Tribolium castaneum: one gene and its partner. The protein of the gene in region 1 interacts with the protein of each later gene in a pairwise test. Links are inferred from orthologs where the notes say so. Each region holds a gene or a part of one and is shown on either strand. Other genes may lie near its edges. The genes, in order: ADP-ribosylation factor-like protein 3 and ADP-ribosylation factor-like protein 2-binding protein.

Evidence for each region.
Region 2: the proteins of ADP-ribosylation factor-like protein 3 (region 1) and ADP-ribosylation factor-like protein 2-binding protein interact in binary tests that used the Homo sapiens proteins (3 or more experiments, as listed by UniProt). The link is inferred for Tribolium castaneum from reciprocal best matches to the Homo sapiens genes ARL3 and ARL2BP.

Annotation. Positions count from the first base shown.
Region 1 is NC_087395.1:18,691,680-18,703,054, reverse strand, and holds ADP-ribosylation factor-like protein 3, read right to left. Parts: upstream 6,827-11,375; 5' UTR 6,703-6,826; coding exon 6,700-6,702; intron 4,550-6,699; coding exon 4,289-4,549; intron 4,239-4,288; coding exon 3,960-4,238; 3' UTR 3,820-3,959; downstream 1-3,819. Other genes in the region: uncharacterized protein LOC655224, read right to left, coding at 1-513; RCC1 domain-containing protein 1, read left to right, coding at 6,827-7,323, 7,371-7,654, 7,706-7,869. UniProt on the Homo sapiens protein: Small GTP-binding protein which cycles between an inactive GDP-bound and an active GTP-bound form, and the rate of cycling is regulated by guanine nucleotide exchange factors (GEF) and GTPase-activating proteins (GAP).
Region 2 is NC_087398.1:8,839,412-8,849,266, reverse strand, and holds ADP-ribosylation factor-like protein 2-binding protein, read left to right. Parts: upstream 1-5,313; 5' UTR 5,314-5,434; coding exon 5,435-5,450; intron 5,451-5,498; coding exon 5,499-5,796; intron 5,797-5,849; coding exon 5,850-5,946; intron 5,947-5,997; coding exon 5,998-6,069; 3' UTR 6,070-6,102; downstream 6,103-9,855. Other genes in the region: Drp1 (dynamin-1-like protein), read left to right, coding at 1-276, 326-613, 666-770, 2,280-2,532, 2,589-2,800, 2,853-2,909; nesd (protein nessun dorma), read right to left, coding at 3,453-3,672, 3,719-5,205; nuclear pore complex protein Nup93, read right to left, coding at 6,103-6,222, 6,274-6,477, 6,530-6,766, 6,815-7,185, 7,234-7,447, 7,629-8,148, 8,205-8,347, 8,426-8,716 and 2 more. UniProt on the Homo sapiens protein: Together with ARL2, plays a role in the nuclear translocation, retention and transcriptional activity of STAT3. May play a role as an effector of ARL2.

The DNA of each region.
Region 1 (11,375 bases):
TGCGTGGTCTTGGTGGTTTCTGGCGCGGGCTTCGGCCTCGGGCCCCAGGAACGCGTTGGCGGTTTGGAGGATCATGGGGATGTAGGTCCAGATGTTGGCCTTTTCGCCGTCCGATTGCCCCATGAAGCTACCCAGAAGGGAGGCTAAGGCGTTCATGTCGAAGGAGTCGTCACTTCTGGTACCACCTTGTTGGAACATGTTGAAGAGCATTGAGAGCATGGATGGGTCGAGGCCTTTACTCTGACCCAAGACTGAGCCCAGACCTTGGAGGATTTCACCGGCGTTTTCGCCGGAAGCGGCGTTAGTCAGGATATCGCCGAGTTGTTTGGCACCGTCCGATTGCATCAAGTTGTTGATCATTCCGCCGATGTTTTGCAGGTTTTGCTCTTTGAGGATCTCGGCTTTAGCTTCGGCGAAGGGATTGATATCATCGTCGATTTGATTGTTGGCGAGGTCCTGGAGAGAGGGACTTGTGATAACTAGGATGACTAGAAGGAAATTGATGGTAGCCATTGGTACTAATCTGAAATAAACGTACCATAAAGTCACGTTTTACAACTCGTGTGCTTTATCTCAAATTGCTCAAACATGTCCTATTGTGTGAACCCCCAGTGGGAGTTTGATAAAACAATCAAATGGTACGTGATGGTACCCAAATTTTGAGGATGGTGTCGGTGACGCACGAATAATCCCGCAAAAGTTACAGTTAGGTCACCCGAAATCAAGAGGTGCCTGCTCGGGATAGTAGCCTTGAACTTACCTCAAGAGTAAACAAATCGAGTTAATTGAAAGTCCCTGAGAGACACTTACCTTGTAAAAGTGCTCGCGTTAGTAATTACTTTTTTAAATGTTGGGCCATTCACATGTCACACATCGCGGCTGCAATCAAACCACAAGTGACAGAACTCGATGGTACTTTCCGGCCTGACGTAGATGATTTTGTAACTGTACTTACGGTACCTCGAAACGGTTCTGGTTTCGATTCAACACTGACTACCTGCCACTCGTAATACACCTTTTAAGATTGTTGAGTAGGTCGTATGCTTACCTGGAACATTCCGAGTGGTCCGAAACAATTATGTGGTCTGGGCACTGATAACGGGTATCTGCAAATCCACCAATTTTGAAGAGATAGTACTATCTATAGCACTTTAAAAACGAAAAAATCTCAAGTGTCGTTTATCAAAACTGTGATTACAGCAATAAAAAAGACCCGCTATACTTCTTCAACAAAAATGTAAACAATAATTTGTTAATAAATAGTTGAAATCTGATAACACAGATAACATACTGTAATTGTATTTTTTGTTTTAGTTAATACAATTAGCTACACATTCATTTTTTTAATATGCTTCATGAATAATTTATTACCATAATACAGTGTTGCATATAAATCCTTCATTAGAAGTAATATTTATCTCAAAATTGGTAATGAGCTGTAATATATTAGGTTTTGTACAGTGAAAATAGTTTCAAGATGGCGGCACTTCCGGTTATACCGGAAGTCGGTAACTATTTGGAAAGCTATGTTTTTTACAGTATTTTTGGATTACAGGATTTATTCTAAGAAAGTTTTCGTAAGCTTTTCTTATACTTAAATTTAGCTATTTGAAAATAAATAAGGTTTTTTTAAAGACAATACTTACATCTTCCCTAAATTGTCTGCAAAATTGGAAAAAAGTTAACAGACTTCAAAATTACCTTAAGGTTGAGTTTAGAGAAATTTAATAAAAGAATTTTTCCAAATGTAAACAATTCGGCAAGTTTTGTTCACAATTTAGGTTTGAATAGCTTTGACTTTTTTTTATTTTTCTCTTGTTTCCAAGGCAACAGATGGAAAAAGAGCTATGGCTAATGAATTTCTCAATGTTAACAGAAAGTTGATATAACTTGAAAAGAATTAATATTACTATTAGTAAGTAAAAGAAAGTGTTGAGGAACGTATTAAATAATAATGCAATACAGGGACGCTAAAAAGTATGGATGCAGCTAAATATTTTCGGAACTCTTTAACAAAACACGTTGAAATTTGGGAAATAGTAAAATTTTATCATCTTAGATCTTTTTCAGTTTTCTACCATAATTGATTTTCAAATTACGAAGCTGACTTGATTTTTTTTAAATGGAACGAAGGACCAAAGTTAATGATTTGTAAAAAAACCATTTTTTTCTGGATTCAGTGATGTAGCATATAGCCTCCTTTATTTTTATTAAAAGTTAAAACATATAAAAATTTAATTCTAAATATCTGAAAAAGTAGAGCTAAGTTAGCTTTGAAAATACTGTTATTAGCGATTGAAGACCTACAAGAATGAATAAGAAACGAAATCGCCACTATTTCTCCAAATATTGTAATTGATTCTTTGCAAAATTTAATTCGACGTATTCATTATTGTTAAGAGGTCAATAGCAATTATTTTGAAATTTTTTTGTCGCATAATAAACATGTAATTCGTGTTTAAACTTTTTTATTAAAATGTGTTCTATTTCCGTTAAAAGTGTTATTTTAACAATTATTATTATTACATATGAACTTTTACTTATTTCTTGCTCAAAGTTCAAGCGGCAAAGAGTTAACGATAGGTATACATATTTCTAAGTCTAACAAAATTATACACTTTTCAAAATTTTATAAGATTATTCTTTAAGTTAATTAATAATTATTTAAATTAAGTTAATTAAAATAAAGTATGCAATTGTTACAACATAGAACTCAAAAAAATGTTCTTTTAAAAATACATATGAAATTAAAAAAAAATCAAGTTAGCTTTGTACCCTCAGAACAAACAGTGATAGAAAAAAATTGGGACATTATAAGTATTTAATATGAAGAAACGAAACTAAGTGATGACTGTTTGGATAGATTTCTGTAAACTTAATGTAAAAAAAGTGGGGATTTTGAACCTTTCTTAGAAATTTGAGATTATTTAAGGAAAGATGTACATGAGCTTTTTTTATTAAATCTCCAAAAACGAATTATTTTTTTAATGGCATAGTTTTTTGAGTTTTCTAATTTTTAATGTGGAAGGTGCAAATCCAACAAACGGCAAAATTTAGATAGATATAGTGAAGGCTGATGAAAACTTCCTTACTTCAGTAACCCAAAAACGTTTTTCCCTTTTAAAATAGGTTAATACCGACTTCCGGTATAAAACCGGAAAAGCTGAGATATTGAAAATATTTTTATCGAGAACTTCCGGTACTCCTATAGGGGTATTATAATGGAACACTCTGTATATTTATTTAAGGGGCCACAAATTTATTTGAAAAAAATTATATCTGGGTTTCGACAATTTCAAATTTCCCGGGTTTCTGCCCTTCAACCCTCCATCTTTAATCAAAAGAAAATCGCGCGTTTGCAAATTTTAGTGCAGAATTTTGAGTGAAAAACTCCGATGTTGTCCAATATTCGGCAAAAACTAAACGTGAAGTGCCTTGTAACACCGTTTAGCAATAGTGAGAGTGAAGGTTATACAGTGTGTTTGAAAAAAAGCGTAAATTTGTGGTCACGAAAGTCGAGCGCCGTTCACCGGTGAGTCACATACTTATTCTAGAACTCTTGTATTTGAATATTTTGAGTCGTTTTTGGATTGATTTCCCGTTTTTTTAATGTTTGCGGAATTTAAAGCAGGACCACCTTTGTCCGAAATGTGCGCGCCAAATTCAAATCTCTCTCCTTCTCATTGCGAAAAGATTGCGTCCCGTTATATCGCACGCATCTGGTAATGTGCATGATTATGAGTGATTATAGTGTAACTAAAAAGGCCAATGACCTTCGATTTGAATAGCCTTGGGGGGATCTGGAGGAAAAACCGGTCACTTTTTAAAAAATCTTTATTAAAAACAATTGCAAAGCTGATGATAAAACCGCACTCGAATTAGCTGAAACAATAGTTTTCCCACTCTTCTAAGTCAACAATAGCGTGTAGTGGGTTGAATGGACGGAATCTGCGTTTGATTTATTTCTTTTTGATGCTTTTGCACACCCATTCCATGCCCTCTCTGACACCGTCGCCTCGGACGGCCGTACAGGCCTGGATTTGCCAGGGTCGGTCTTTAATACTCGGCAAACCCAAAGCCTGGGCCAAATCCGCGGCGGTGAGAGCTTCAGGAAGATCTTGTTTGTTGGCGTAGACTAACAAAGGCACGTCTTGGAGTTTATCGTCGGTCAGAAGCTCGTATAATTCGATTCCGGTCTCTTCCAAACGTTTCTTATCAGACGAATCCACAACATAAATCTAGAACAAGCCAAACTAGAAACAGCCGTTTTTGGGGGCGAGAAAATTACCAAAACGTCGGTATTTTCGAAATAGTTTTTCCAGTAAGGGCGGATCTTGCGCTGTCCCCCTATATCCCAAACGTTCAGTTTGAAACCTTCAGATATGACCGACTTTATGTTAAAACCGGCTGTGGGTGTTATGTGATTAATGTCTTCAGATGCCAGGGTCTTGAGGATGGTCGTTTTGCCCGCATTGTCCAAGCCCAGGAGAAGCAAACGCAATTCGCGCTCAGGGGCGGCGCGAAGCTTCCGCAAAAGCGACAAAAGACCCTAAAAGTTAATTATTAATTGATTTTTATCCAATCTACAATGATATAAGGTATGAAAACTATGAAACCGTATAAAATTAAAGTGACGATATTGGTCAATAAAAAATAAATCCCCTTGCCCCTGAGCAGCAATTAGTAGGCAGCACACATTACACAGCTGTGTAAACTGAGCAGGTATTTTGGCGTCGTAGCCTGTTCTTGTTACCACGTTAAATGTTAAATAAAAATATAAAACGGTCAGATCACATTATTAACGGTTATATGTAATAGAACAAAATTCATACAGAGTGTTTCACATAATTTTATGAGCCCGCGCCTGTAAATTGCCACCAACAATACAGATTCGGAAACGAACTCGGATTACAAATTTTGAAAAATTGTATAGTCATACCTTCAAACATTACAACGTTTTAAGTTAGTTAAGGATTAAAATAAATAGATTAGAATCATGTCAATTTTGTCTCTTGATAGAACACAATTATTATTTCTGTAAACCTACAATTAATGAATATTAATAAAATAGTGATTAGTTTTACAACTACTGTATTTTATTGATCTAGTGTTTTGTGACTTTTATATACGGAGTGTCCGTTTTTCGAGCTCCTCCATGAGAATCTCAATTATTTTAAATTTTTGAATAATTATTCCGATAGAACGAAAATTTGTAAGTTTTGTTTTTAGTTTTTCAAGCGAAAATCAAAAGAACTATACGTTTTTAACTAGGACGCATTTTTTTACAAGGAATCTAAATGTATCATCGTATTTTCCAAGGCGTTGTTGATATCAGAGTTACAACGCTCAACTCTGGTTTTTCTTATTGAAACCATACACATTCGCTTTATGTATTTTTGAAAAATGTTTTTATTCCTGATTACAACGATGTATCACATGATTTGGTCAAATCTTATATGCTGACCAAAATGGAGAAAAAAGCATTTTTGCGAAGAGTGCTTTGGAAAAAACGTCAACAATGTTGTTTTTAAACAAACTAGATTTTAAAAATTATTATTAAAAAAATAAAAAAAAATATTTATTAGTATTAAGTTTTCAATAAACTATTAAAAAAACAGTTACCTTTTTTATGAAATTTTTTTTATTTCATAAATCTGGGGTTAAATTACAATTAATTTACTTTACTAGTTTGTATAACACAACTTTTAGGAATGTAGTCCTAGTTACGAATAGCAGTCGTTATTACGACAGTTAAAAAGGTCGTCTGGAAAAACGTACGCTCCGGAACTTAAAGGCATTGGTAACATAAAAAACAACTTTGTTTTAAATGATATTGAAAACGCTAATTACAATAGTGGAAACCGTTTCTCTGTATCTGCTCTCTAAATCAAGTTATTTAAAGTTGAAATTATGACGTCATAGCCGCCTATCGAACATTTGGTTCAATATTATAATCAAATGGTTTTTGACTTTAAGTGACACTGATAAAATTTATCAAGAAGTTGAAAACAAAATGTAGAACAGAAAAAGGAGTTATTTTTTTATTTTTTGGTCACTTAGAGGGTTCAGTAATAAAAGGATTCTATGAGAGGCGGTTGTGACGTCACGTTTTTTTTTTTCGATTATCTCGCTTATTTTATTTTTCATCGCAGGAAGTTTTAAATGAACGAAATGGCAATTTTGACAATATTTTGGACGAAACAAATCATAATTTCGATTTTGAAATTCTTTTGAATTGAAACTCTCGTTAGGAATGTCGTCATTTATATTGCGATGTAAAGTATAAAAGTGTTTTAACTGTTCCAAATGCTGTGCGGAATTAGAACAAGATTTACAAGAGTTGTGGTGCATTATAAATAGAAAAGATAGAGTTGGGTTGATAAAATCGTCAGGAGTCGTTAAAATATGTTTCGACTATAGAAAGTTGTTGAAAATGTTTTATTATAATAAATAATAACATTAATAAGTAATAGGATTATTGTTTTTATCACTCCTATTGATAAATTTGTTTTTGCGCCTGCAGTTTATGCACCAAACTACACTCGCGTGTATATTTGGCTGCCTAGCCGATTGTATACAAAGTGCCGTAACCATGGTGATTGTTTGACAAGTGTGTCATTTACAATAAGAAATTTATTGTAAAACGCCTTTAATTAGTATTTAAACCGTAGTTTTATTATTTATTATTAAAATCCTCACCATTTGGGACCTCCTCCAGCCGAAGTCAAGTCAAAAAAGCAAGGAAATAGCTGCGAAAAGGGTCAAAGTTGTGAGACAACACCAAACACAAAACTGTCAACGTAAATAACTTAAACAAATCGATACCATGAAAGTGTATTACAATGGGTTCAACCTCCATCGCCAGTTCCCCAGCCCACAAGACTTGGTAGTAAATTTTATCGATCACGTGTACCGGGACTTGGAAAATATCGAGGTTAGCTACCACTTCGCTGTATTGTTGGTTGCGAACGTTGTGGCGTTTCGAGGCGCGAAAAATGAAACAATTCCCGTGGAAGGGAAAATTCGACAAATTTCATGCAACGAAGACAAAGTTTTGGTGCTTTTGACTAATGGAGACTTGTTAAAAATAACGGAATCTGTGATAAAAGTGCCAAAATTGATGGGTTTGGATGACGATGACACCGTTGTTCAAATTTCGACTGGATCCAAGCTTTGTGTAGCTTTAACGAAAAAGGGACTCTTGTACAATGTGCCAAATAAGTTAGAATTTGTAAGCGGGGATATAATTGAGGTGAAAACGGGCCGCGAACATTGCTTACTTTTAGACAAAAGCGGAAATGTTTTTAGCTTTGGTAGGGGAAGGTGGGTGCTAGTGGCCAATTGGGACGGAAGTAATCTTATGTTTTTAGTCGCGGACAACTTGGGCATGGATGTCTGGATGATGAATCCGAACCTAAGTTTATAGAAGCGTTAGGTGGTGTGAAAATTGAGGCTATTGAGGCAGGAGGCTGGCATTCGTGTGCTTTGAGTAAAGAGGGGGATTTATACGTTTGGGGGTGGAACGGAAGTGGACAGTTGGGTTTAGGGGGAAGTGATGATGGGGTGTCCATTATGGCAACGCCTCAAGTCTTAGATTTTGATTTTAATATTAAAAATGTTGGCTGTGGTAATAAACATACAGTTGTTTTGACAGGTGATTGGTTAGTGCTTTAGTTTGATTGGATGTGACGTTTGGTGGTTTCAGATGAGGGAAAATTGTTTGGCTGTGGTTGGAATAAATACAAACAGTTGAAGAACGACGAAAATGAGGTTTTTCGTGAGTTGATTTTCCTGTGGGATTTTTCAAAGGAAGTTGTGAAGTGTCTAAAGTGTGGTCCTTGGAATACGCTGGTGTTGTGTACAGGGTGACTCGGATAAGAAGGGCGGGATGAAATAAAACAACCATGAACATTTTAATGTAGTCCACAGTATAATAAATACTGGTATACTTCAGAATTACATTATAAATATACAATGTGTATGGTATTTTTTTGTATTTTTGTGGTTTTTAAAATATTTTCTGAAAATAACAATTTCCCACAAAGCAATTGTTCAAACATCTAACTTTAATAAAACATGATTTACAAGTCACAGATATTTACGAACAAGAACACGTTGTATTTTAGGAAAAAAGCTAGAAAACTTAAAAAAATATAATAATAAAAAAGTGAAAAAACGATTTGCAACAACAAACAAAACGGACCGTCTAGCCTTTTTCCTTTACATGTGAAAATACAACAAATTGATATAATATAATATTCACGCTAAAAGGCATTTATAGTCACAATTTTATAATATGAGTACTTTTTTTAAAAAATCGTTTCGTCGACAACGAGACCGTTTCGAATCCGGAAAGGGCCTAATCGTCAAAAATTTTAATCTAACATATTGTCAAAACATGGAATCATTTCATTTTACAAAAATTCAACAAATTTTTCGTAATAATAAAAAACATCCCTAATTAATAATCCGCACCACTTTTTAAGCATAGCAATAAGAATAAAAAGTTTCTCGAGACAAAAAATATCTTTCTTTGATATAATTTTTGATATTTTGGATATGAATCAGTACTTTTGGTCCCAGTGTGTGCAACGGAGATTAATTTCGTATTCATGGCATATTTCAAAATTATCCAAGGTTAAATTTTGATTTTTTTCAGTCTTCATCAATACTACCGATCACATTTTTATAAAACTTTTTTCTACCAATTTTAAGCACATTTTCGACTAGACAAACAAAGAAACGAGTATAGAAGACACTTTTTGGTGTTGGTTTTAGAGCCAATCGTTAACCTTGTGTGGTGGTGTAGAGTGTGGTTTTGAATATGCCATCTTTTTGTGAAAATAAATAAATAAACGACCTGTTTGAACCTGTTCTATCTGATTTTGCTACCACATTGATGAAGAGCATGGGCCCTACATTTAAACTACTACTTTTACATTACGTACTAAGTAAAATCTTAAACTACGTTAGTTAAGTGCCATCACCTGGTTATTAGTGTCTCATTTACAAAAACTCTATATAGTGTGGGGGTATTTAAACCTAACCTCTTGTACTTGTAAACTGTCAACAAAGACGCGTAAGAACTACCATCTATTTAAGTATACACTCTGTATATTCAATTAATCTAAGGTGTTTTACAGGGGAGTCTGTGAACAAATTGTATCTTAGCGCATGAACCAGTCGCGACACACTCTATGTCGGCAGAAATGTTTTTTACTTGAAGAATTTACGCCAATTTACGTATACAGCGGTGCTCTGATAATGAAAAACGACGCACCCATATTGCAACATAAATAACAAACACAACATTATACATAAAAATATCATTTCATTACTTTTTCTTTACGTAAAATCCGCTCTTCATCAATGTGATTAAATGTGGGTAAATTGTGTACTATTGTTGTATTATGGTTGTTCCAATTAACACAAAAATTGCTCAGAGGTTTCAATTGTAATAAAAATGTTCTCAGTTTAATCTGCAGGCACACAAACATTCAAGTGCGCTGAAACAGTACTATATACACGGTTGTAAAGCAAAAAACTTAAGTAATATTTCCACTACACTACACAACTAAAAATTAATTAACAAATACGTTGATATAAAAAAATCATTAAAATTATGTGTTTATTGTAAAAAAATAATTAGGAATAACATAGAAACTATTAGAAGTCTTATAGTTGTGAAAAAGCTATAGTGTGGAATGATAAATCTAACATCTATTTCAATTAATTAAAAAAGACCTTGGTCCGTTATTGTTTTTCTTGTTTATTTTATCATAAACGAAATACTGACACGTTTGGTGCAAAAAAGATAAAAAACGAAAAGTACGTCCATTTTAATAAAGTTTAACATGCAAACAAGTTAAATAATAAAAACAGGAAAAATTACGTAATAATAATCGATTATCAAAACGAACTGTCGAATAGTCAAATGTACCGTTTCAGATAATCTGTAAAGTCCCGGATCACACTGGCAAAACACGAAACACGCTGAGAAAAGGCGGCGCCAAGAGGGCGCTGCTAAATCCGTCAAGGTTTCCCGCTTTGCGTGATGTGCCGCTCAATAAAACAACAATAAATAATGATAAAAAATGACAACAACTTTATTCTTTTGATTATATAGTGCTTTTGAAGCCTGTAAGAGATTTACGTACTAAAAATATCGTGTATTCAACGCGTATACTTTAAGGTTTATGTTTTTGGACCGCACATTTGGAAAAAAGCGAACGTAGTCAAAGAAAGTGTCTTTATCGTAACAAATTATCACATAAGAAATGCAAGAAATGCTATATAAATTGCACAAAAATCGGTGGCACACTTGCTGAATATTGTTTTGTATATGAAAAATTTTCCTTCTACTATAATCGCGCGGAATTACGGAATTTTGATACACTACAATCAAGCCGAAGAGTATTTTTGGTAGGAGCCGAGTCGGTGGGTGAAAAGCGCCCTCGGCCCCGCCCCAAACTGTAATTGGCAAGCGCAAAAGTGAAACACACAAACATTTAAAATTACAGTGTTTTTGAACCTTAGGACTACGAGAACTGGGAAGCTCACAGCTTCTTCGAAAACAAAAAATGCATTCCGAGATGATCAAAGGGCCCGAGGCCGAGATCACAATCTGTTTTTAAACATTTAAATTGTTCAATTTTCGCGAATAAAAAATCTGGCACATATATGGTTGGAATGTTTGGTTTTGGCGGCTAGGTCGAGTCTCGGGCGCCACCTTCGGGGAGTGGAGACGCGCTCTGGGCGCCAAACGATATGTAAAGCATACCACATTATATACAACTGCATTGGTCCAACTTAAATATGTGTGTACTGTAGAAATCTGTTTGGTTTGAGGAATCGGACGCGCCGATTCGGTTAACTGTCGGTATCGGTTTGGTTAGTGGTTGGTTGTATGTCTGACGGTTGTTGAAGAAGGGGGGAATGAAGCGTTTAAACTCTACCTTGAGTCAATCTTTTATCTCTCGAACAAAATAGCTTCCTTTGAAATATATAATATACTTTTTATATATTCTTATAGACTACTTAATATTGATGTAAATATATATTATGTATATACCATCTAATTGCACTTCATTGTCATATGAATTAAACGAAAGTCGGTTCGGTTAACTGAATGCGGGTCGACTCAGTTCGCCAACCGATCACTACTCCCTAATTGTTTAATTTTTTAATTATTTATAATATTTTAAGATATTTTTAGAGAAAATATACATCAAAAATTTTGAATAAATCACAGATAGATATAATTTTTTTTCAATTCTGGGACAATCCCATGGGTTTTTCGATATTATATAATATATATGAACCGTCCTCATCAAAGCAGCTGAATGCATGAACATCATGAACTTTATACAAGTTTG
Region 2 (9,855 bases), on another chromosome or scaffold:
CGAAACATTGAAACGACTGAATTGTGTGGAGGGGCGAGAATTTGCTACATTTTTCACGAGACTTTCGGGAGGACTTTAGACTCGATCCACCCCTTGGCCGGTTTGACAAAAATGGATATTTTAACCGCCATTCGGAATGCAAATGGGCCTCGACCTGCCCTTTTCGTCCCGGAAGTTTCCTTCGAATTACTAGTCAAGAGGCAAATCCGACGTCTTGAAGAACCATCACTGCGTTGCGTTGAATTAATCCACGAAGAAATGCAACGTATTATACAAGTAATTAATAACGTTTTCCCCAAAGTTGTGCTTCAGTGTCCGTTTTTAGCATTGTGGAAGCGAAGTGCAGCAAGAAATGCTGCGGTTTCCCAAACTGTACGAAAAAATCGTAGATGTTGTAACACAGTTATTGCGGAGACGTCTTCCGACGACCAACCAAATGGTGGAAAATTTAGTGCAAATCGAATTGGCGTATATTAATACCAAACATCCCGATTTTTATAAAGAAATAGCAATGGTGCCATCGATGATTAAATCCGGGGACGGATCTCGTCCAAATCGACCAAAGAGTATGCTAATCAAACACCATAATACAGTGGCGGAGACTTCCGAGTTGGTATGTTTTAATGTTTTGTAAATTTTTGCACAATTTTAGTTGTTTTCTATAGATTGCACGTGGTGCTGTAGAAGCATCTGACCAAGCCGATTTCTTTAATTATCTCTTTCGAATATTGCCCGTGTCTAGTTATAATGACTTCATGAACGCTGTTCAGGTATATATTTTATTAGTTGCAAAACTAATACCAAATACGTGTGTGACGTTTTTCATCGCAAATCATAATCTCGCGAATTAAGTAAATCCATTCTAAAAATAACATTATTAGAGTTTTCGAATGTGTCATAAATATTCACGATTTCACAACGTTCAAAAAATTATCAATGCAATTAAATTTTTGTAAAACGTGTTTCAATTAAAACAAATGTTTTTTAGAGATCGAGTTTTATACATTTAAAAAATTATGGATTTAAGATACGAACTTTTTAATAAGTTCCAATGATTTAGATGTTTCCATTTATATAATAACTGAAAAGAAATCTTGTTTAGTGTCTTATGACTTTATTATACTTTTTACATGTGGTATATAAGAATTAATAATAATTAGTAAATAATTTGCATTACTTGAGTCCTAATTTTTAAAAAGAGACTAAGAATTCAATGCAAATACTGATTTGTATTTAAGATACATTTCTTCTTTAGCCTTAAATTATTTGTCGTGTATGTAATTGATTATCCGGAAAATGGACATCTTGGAAAGCCATATTAAAGTAAAAAAGAAGAATAAAACACAAAGAAAATTATCTTATTTGTTACAAAATTGAAATATTTTGCAGTGACATTACTGCTTTATGTAGAAAACTAACAATTACTAACATATTTTGCTAACTTTTTTTAAGTCAATAACATTAGTGCTGTCTTAATTTGAATACACACTGTAGGGTATTCCCAGTTTTACACAGTACGTGAAAAAATCACAGACATACACTTCATTTAGCGGTCAACAGAAAAAATTAAATATTTTTTTTGTCAAAATATTTAAAACTAATGTCTACACTTTTCTAATTTCGATTTTGTAAACAGTTGTTTAGTTTGTTACTTACTTAACACATCTTATTACTTTGGAATAAGAAGGAAATAATTAAAATACACTCACCTTTTGACAAAATCAGTATGTGTGCTTTTAAATTTCCTTTATTTCTCCCCGTAGATACATTCCTTTGGCACACATTAACTACTCGAATGTTTAAAAACCGCGCACTAATAAATGCCTGTTTTAAGCACCCGAAAATTCGCAATATGCATTAAAGATAGTTTTATATTTTGAAAATCATAATTAGAAATATGTTGATTTTTATTTAATTTTAATAAAGTTATTCGGCGTCCGTTCACAACAAGAAGTAACAAACTGAATAAAATTATGCAGCACACCAATGTGTAAATATCGATAGATCAACAAAAAATATTGTAATCTGTTTACGTATTAATTATTGTTTTTTCTGTTACATTACTTTGTTGGGGACCTAAAATATACAGGGATCAGAGAGATTTTAGTTAAAACCGCCATCCTGTCGTCCTTGGTTTCCTACTTGCGAAATATATTTTTTTTTTTTTTTAAATTACGAAAGTTGTAAGGCACTTTTTTGCGTAGAATTTAACAACGTAGTCACCGATTTTGTTGTGCTTACAACTAGGGTGTGTGATTATTTGCGAAAATGTCTTTCAGGTGCGTTCTTCGAGCAACCCTCACTTGAATGAAGATGCGACAACTTGGGTGTCTAATTTAACCTCCTCCCAAAACGGAACGGATACCGCTCTGACGAATCACATCAGCGGTGTGCCCGAAAGCGTAAAAAATGAGGAGATAAAATCAGTTCTTAGTCCTGTGAAACCTGTCAATTTGTTACCACAAGTTCCAATCAACAGCAGTTCGTTCAGAAAGCTTTCTGAGAATGAGGAACACGACTGTGAAATTATTGGTATTTATTTATTTGTTTTTTTTTCAGTGTTAGGGATTCTATCTAATATTTTGCAGAACGCTTGATTAAATCGTATTTCTACATCGTTCGTAAATCAATTCAGGATACAGTCCCGAAGGCGGTAATGCATTTCTTAGTGAATTTTGTTAAAGACAATTTGCAATCCGAGTTAGTGACACATTTGTATAAAGCTGACAATGCTGATCAGTTGTTGGACGAGTCTGAGCACATTGCTCAGAGACGCAAAGAAGCCGCAGATATGTTAAAAGTGAGTTGCTCCAGCTTTGTAAGACTGGTTTGCTGTAACAATTATGTTTCAGGCACTTCAAAAAGCTGCACACATCATTAGCGAAATTAGAGAAACACACATGTGGTAAACTTGCAGCCATATTCTCCCTAGTCAAGAGTAAGCGTGTACTGGCCCTCGATGTTAAAGCTGTATTTAATCTTTACTTAAAAGGATAAGAGTAACACTGAACGATTTCGGAATGTCTTGTTCAAAAACTTCATAAAGCGAAAACGGATATTTGTTGAAGTTTTATAAAAATTTAATTACCTTCCTGTAAATAATTGTACAATTTTTATCAATTCTGACATCTTTGTAAAGTTCATCGATTCTCATTTTGGTCTGATATTAGACTTGTTACTCTCTTTTTAGTTGGTGCATTACTGTAGAAATCACTTTTTGATGTTACACGCGCCATAGTTGTATTTCCTCGTATTTCAATATTTTTGATGCATTTTTGTTCTAGCCTAGTTGCGCATCAATAAATTATTGATTTGGTACAAATTTTCTTAAACCCGACAGTCAGCAGTAACAAAATGTATTTAAACAAAAATCAACAATCATGTAATAGTGGATTAACATAAATAGGCTATTCGAGTATTATAAGAGAAAGCAAAAGATAATAAACAAGCTATCAAATTGTAGCAGGAGAGCTTCTCCCGTCGCAGTTATTCTCAATCACAGTGGTTTGAAGAGTGTCCATTTCTTCATCAGAATCAACACAAATCGTCGGATCGGAATCGGGGTTCTCGAACAAGTTTTCAATCGGTTTCAACTTAGATTTCTGGTTGATAACAGCGTCGCCTTTCGCATTATTGTCCCCGCTTATAAATTCCATTTGCAGTTGTGGAATTCTGGAAATTAAAATTAAAATTGCACCAACTGTGAGAAATATCTTACATGTTTAACGTATCAAAATCGCCAACTTTTTGATGACTATCATCAATATTATTCTCAGTTTCGACGCAAATCCCGTATTCTTTGCAATTCTGAATTGCCACTTTTGTCGCTTTCACGCAACAGTTATCGTAGATTTTCAGACCTAAATTGCAGTTGTGAATTTCGGTGCTCTCCATGGTTACGTTGGACCCCGAATTGCCGACAATTGCGGTACTAAAGTGACTAATTTCGCAGTTTATTGTTTGCAAATTCGCTCCATTCAATATGAGGATTCCCTGATGAGTTGATGATTTTCCATCCCCATATATTCGACAGTTGATTAAGGTAAGTTGGCCCCCGCGGACGATTATTCCACACTGAGGGGACGACGCGTCAATGGTCATATTTTCAATAACGACGTTCCCGCCTCTAAAATCCAGCATCACGTCCTCTGTTTTGGAGCTTAATATTGTGTTTTCTGTCGCGGAGACTCCTTTTAACAGCCCCCCATGTTCCAGTGCCCCAGTGACTGTGATCATGTGTTTGCCTTCTTTCACAATGAATACATCATTTGGATTGGCATAATCTAAAGTTGAGGATAACTGTGGCGAAAACCTTACAATCTCAGTTGGGTACGAGGCTTTAATTTTTTGTAAGAACTCAATGCTGTCATCTAGCGTATTTTCGGCTTGAATCACCCAAATGTTCTGTTTGGTGTCATCGTGAGCTGGAACCATCTCTTTCTGTTTCTTGATGACAACCTTCCTGAGCATTGGGTTCTCTAAAATGTCCATTTCTCCTTTAATTTCCATCAGACGAATGTGGAGCTCCGACAACTGTTCAACCGTGGGGTCGTTGACAGCAGCATTATCCCCATCACAGCTCTCCAAATCGTCAAGTTCAGACTCCAGTTGCTCCCTTTTCTGCTCCAGTCTCTTGGCTTCACTCATCAGGGAGTGCAAGCGCTCGGCGGTGACCCGTGGTATCACCCCGTTTTTCAGGTCATAGTACAGCCTCAAGCGGGGCTCCAGATGCTTGCTTTTCCAGTCACCCTCATCATCCTCTTCGAAATCCCACGGCATGACCAAATTGTGATAGAAAAACCGCAGCATGTCCAGCACGTTCGCAGTGGAGTGCAAGTTAATGGCAACGCTCTTATCTTGCGCTTTCGTGGGCCACAGCTGGATCAGGGGCACCCAGTGCTTCTCAGGAATGTGGATGTCGTCCTGGACAGCCAAGACCTTGACCAGCGCTGTCATCTCCTTGAAACTCACGTCCAGGACGAAAACCAGCACCACCGTCGGAAAGGCGATATTGAGGGCCTCGCAGGTTTTGCGCTGGATTTTCCAAACCGCCTGCCACCCGTTCGGATCCAGGGTTAAGTCCAGGTAGAAGCCCCACTCGTTAGCGATGGCAGAGGCCGGCAGAACTTCATAGCCCCCAAGCACCTCATTGTATTCTTGCAAACGCTGTTGCAGGCTTTTATCAAACGTTATCACCTGGTCCATTTTACTCAACGCTTGAAATTTTTTCACGTTTTAACTTTTAACGGCTACAAATTTTAAATTTGTGTCACTGCTCTGGTGACAAACCAAACAATCCCTAGCAAAAACGTGGTGGGGTTCGAGTCACTATGGTAACCATGTAAACAACAATGTAAAAAAATGTCAAATTATTTGTGATCAATTCCATGTTGTGTTGAGTTGAACGTCCTTAAAAATACAAAAGGCCCAAAAAATGGCACAGGAGCAATGTTGGTCGTTTCATTTTGTGGATGCTGGGAATAATTTGATTGCTTTAGGTTTGTTTGAGGGTTCGGATGATTTGGATATTTCACATCATTGTCAAGACGTTGAGGAAAAGTACTTTGCCCAGGTTGTGGGGCACATTGAAGACATTCTCCTTGATGATAGCTTTCTCAAAATACATAAAGATTTCATGGAAGAATACTGGACGGAATTTGAGGAAAGTGACGAAAATAAACTCGTTTACACCGACATATTTAAAAAGTACGTGGAAACGATAGAGAAGTTTTTAGAAACTGAATTGAAAAAGAAGATTCCAAATTTCAGTATGTTGGAGTTCGAGTACGAGTTAAGGTAAAACACACTGGACAGTTTTGGCATTAGTGGGATATTTTGTAATATTCCAGAAAACGACCCAATGAACTTGTAGGGGAGGTTTTTGAAATTTTATCAACTTTCACAGACTTTGTTTCCTTTAAAGAAAAATTTTTAGATTACAAAGCGGTGTGTTCACATTGTCTTCACTTAAAACCCTCTTAAATGTCTTAATTTCAGATGAAGGAAGGCAAGACGGTAGATTTTTCTAAGGATCTTTACGTAATACAGTATAAATTAGAAACTTTGTAACTTTATTGAACGAAATGTTTAATATAAAAAACCTTAATGCATTAATATTTCCATTTGAACCAATTTACTATTTGTGTCTCCTGGCATTCTGTAAGGCAACATTCCAGTGAAATTAATCAAGATTTTTGCCTGTTCCCTTAAATGTGACAATTGCTGAAATACAATAAAAACAATCATAAGTTATTTGAATAGTTATTGGCTTACTTTCTCAATGGTGTTGTCGTTAAACCTGCTTGGAATATATTCATTTCCTTTAATCTTCTGATAATCAGCAAACAACATATTCATTGTAGCCAAAAGCACATCAGGAATCACTTTGCAGACGTCAACGTTCAGTTTTTTGAACGCCTTTACACGTTCTTCCACCTCTTGTGGTTGACGAGGGATTATTTGAAGGTCGCTCAGAGTCTACAGTTACAAAAAAATAGAAAAAACATCACAAAAAACATTCAATTGTTACTTTTAATGCCAACGAAAACTGTTTGGAATGATACTGATCGAAAAATACTGCAAGTTGTTTCAGTTTAATGTAGGATGTAACAATATTGGATGACGCTTTGTAGCCTTCTCTCGTGTATCTGTCGCTCAAAATATTTCCCTTCTCCAACAATCTCTCCTTCAGAGAGTTTGGTTGAGAAGGCAAATGAACCACTTGTGACAGCAAAGTGCAAAATAAATTCAAAACCTCCTCTTGATTCTGTAAAAAAATATTAACACGATATTTGTTTATTAAAGTATCACTCACATCAGCCAAATCAAACACATCTATTGCTTCCTCGAATAATCCCTTCTTTACCAAAGAATCGCCAATCATTTGAGCAATGTTTTCCGCACTGATTTCAGCGTTAGTAAACTGGTCGATCAGCCCTTTGGTTCTTATATCATTGGGCTGAATGACCCCCAAAATCTTGTTGTACTCCTTGGTTTCAATAGCCAGATCACACACACAAATCTTGAACAAATTCACTCCATCCTCATTGGTAAAATTGCGCAAGATATAAAAGTAGTGCAACGCCTCATTAGGACAAGTTATTTCAAATTTGCGAACATAAATCATAATTAAACGCGCCAGGTTCAAGCGGCGACTTGGTTTCACATCCATTGGGTCAATACTAACTAATAAAAATCATAAGTAAACAAACAATCGCAAAAACTTTTACATACTAAGTGGTGCTGAACTGTCCCGTGAGCCAGCCAATAAGTACAACTCGTTCAAGGCAATGGCCATATGGACAGCATGAACTCGGTACCTCTCAATTCGGGGCAAAAATTCAATAGCGGCCTCAAATTGACCGGTTAATGCGAGCACTTGGAAATATAAGTGGGGTTGGTTCATGGCGTCATAATGAGCTTCACCATACTCTTCCAAAATCATCCGCTAAGGAATAGTGTATTACGTAATGTGGGAAACACATACGAGCGTTAACAACTAAATGTTACGTAAAAATTGAAAACAAATAACTTTTTCTTGAAAGTATTGGACATAGTAATGCAAATAACAATAATTGTTGCATACAATAACTAATAAACGTGTTGGGTAAAGTAAATAGTGTACACACCTGCAGGTCGTTGTACTTAATGTGGTCGTCCTTTTCGTAATCAGCTCTCACTAAGCTCAATTTCAACCATAAATAATCGTCCGCGGTTCTGGCGACTTCCGAATGCTCATCAACGACATCGCAACAGCCAAGCACCGCACAGACGATACGCTTAAAAGGGTCAGTTTCGTTACGTACATGTCTGCGATAATTGTAGCGCACATTATCCTCCAGTTTGTAAATATCTGGACTGTCAGGATTATTGAGTTTTGCTTCCAAAATAGCAACAATGTCTTGAAACTCTTTTTCGTTTTTCTTCTTTAGACAATAAATTGCTGCTGCTAAATCTCCGCTCCTTATACAGTAGTAGACCATGGGCCATAAAGGCCTTCCATCGATTTTGTCATCTTTCAAGCCCGAATATTCGCCTTGGAGGCGAACACCGACGTAACTGCGGACTAAGGGATAAGTTCCGGGAACTCCCCCAAGCATCGCAGTTGATAGGTTTTCGTTAATGATGTTACTCATATACGTCTTATATCTAGAATTATTTACCTAATTGTGGTCTTTTTTCATTGAATTAGAAAAATAAATTACCGATCTTCCAGATATTTCTTGCCTTGTTTCACCAAAGCGTTTATGAAAGGGGCAGAATTTCGAGTTTTAATCTGATCCTCTGACTGAGGAAACGGCGGCAACTGAGTCATGTATTTCATTATTTCCCACATGTCTTTAACTTTCTGAAATTTTTAAGCTTAAGAACGACTGTATGTTGTCATTAAAATTTTGTCTGATATCAAAATGAGGCAAAAACTTACGGCGTCTCTCAAGTCATTTGCCACGCTGATGAAGCTGTTTATGAGACTTGGCTTCTGAATGCTCCTGCCAATTGCTTGATTGTATTCCATAATCTTGGCGGCATAGAGAGTCTCTGCCACTCCTAAGTTGGGGGTAATAGAAATAGGCCTCTCCATAAAAACGGATGAATATTTTCCAATTTCTATGAAAGCCCCAGATGGTCCCAGCATCGAATTTAGGATTTTTCGTTTTTCTTGTTTCCATTCGCCAGTTTGGTGTTCCCAAGAGCAGTCGGAAATTGTTTTCATGCACTACAATATGTAATTATGCGTATGTACACTTTGGGAACCACGTATGGATTACTTTATTGAAACCGTTTTCAAATACACTCAAAATGCAGTTTTGGATTTCATTTTCAAGAATTCCGACTGCATTTACGTCCTCAACCGGCTCAATGGATTCGAATGTGCGCTTGGTACTAATTGATTCCAATTTTTGTATTATTTTTGGCAAGTCTACGCCTTTTGATCCTAACAATAAATTCCTGAAATTTGTTACGTCCACGTTATATTTAATTCTGTTAACAGTGAATAAGTCAAAGACATACGCTTGAATGTCCTTTGCTCCAGTTTGAGCCACTTTTGAATATAAATCGTTAGAAGCTTCCAAGACCTGCCGAATAGATCTATCAACTTTTGGCAGTTCTTTACTCCCTTCAATGTCAACAGTGATTTTTTCAGCCTCCTGGAGGAGGTCGGCAAAGTCGCCCATGTTGATATTTCTAAAAATGTTGGAAAAAATAATCAAAAACAAGAAACTAAAAGTTGGGTTAGGACAACAATATAACCTTCAAAAATACATAAAATTGATGTATTTCATAACAAGAAGCAATTTATCGGCAAAAACCTACTTGAATTGATGTTCAAACACACAATTTAAAACGTATTTTCGTGAACTTTTGTAATTCTTGTAAAAAATGCCGCTACAAACATGCAACGGTTAAAAACGATGCTGCTTATGTAACCCAAAATACACTTTTTCAGCTAGTTTCAGCACATATAGGCAACCCAAAATTTACGATTTCAGTTTCAGTGATTCTGATTGCCGACGCACTGAAACTGAACAAATCCCCAAGTTCGTTTTGTTTTTCAGTTTTCGGAATCATATCTTCTAATGTATATTTCTTAGTTTTGTTTTCGTATAATACAACTAAATTTTTATCGATTTATTGTAACATAAACCGTAAACATAAAATAGAGCGTCGATGTCGTGCTGGAAATCACTTTGAAAGCTGTTCCAGCTTTATCGATAATTCGTCCAGATAGCAAGGTAATGCGTGGGTGAAGCTTCACCTGACGCTTTTTCCAGTTGCGAGTTCGTTCTTTCTATTATTAACGCCGTACTCTGATGAAACAGACGTCGCGAAATTGAAATGTTTTGTTAATAGAAT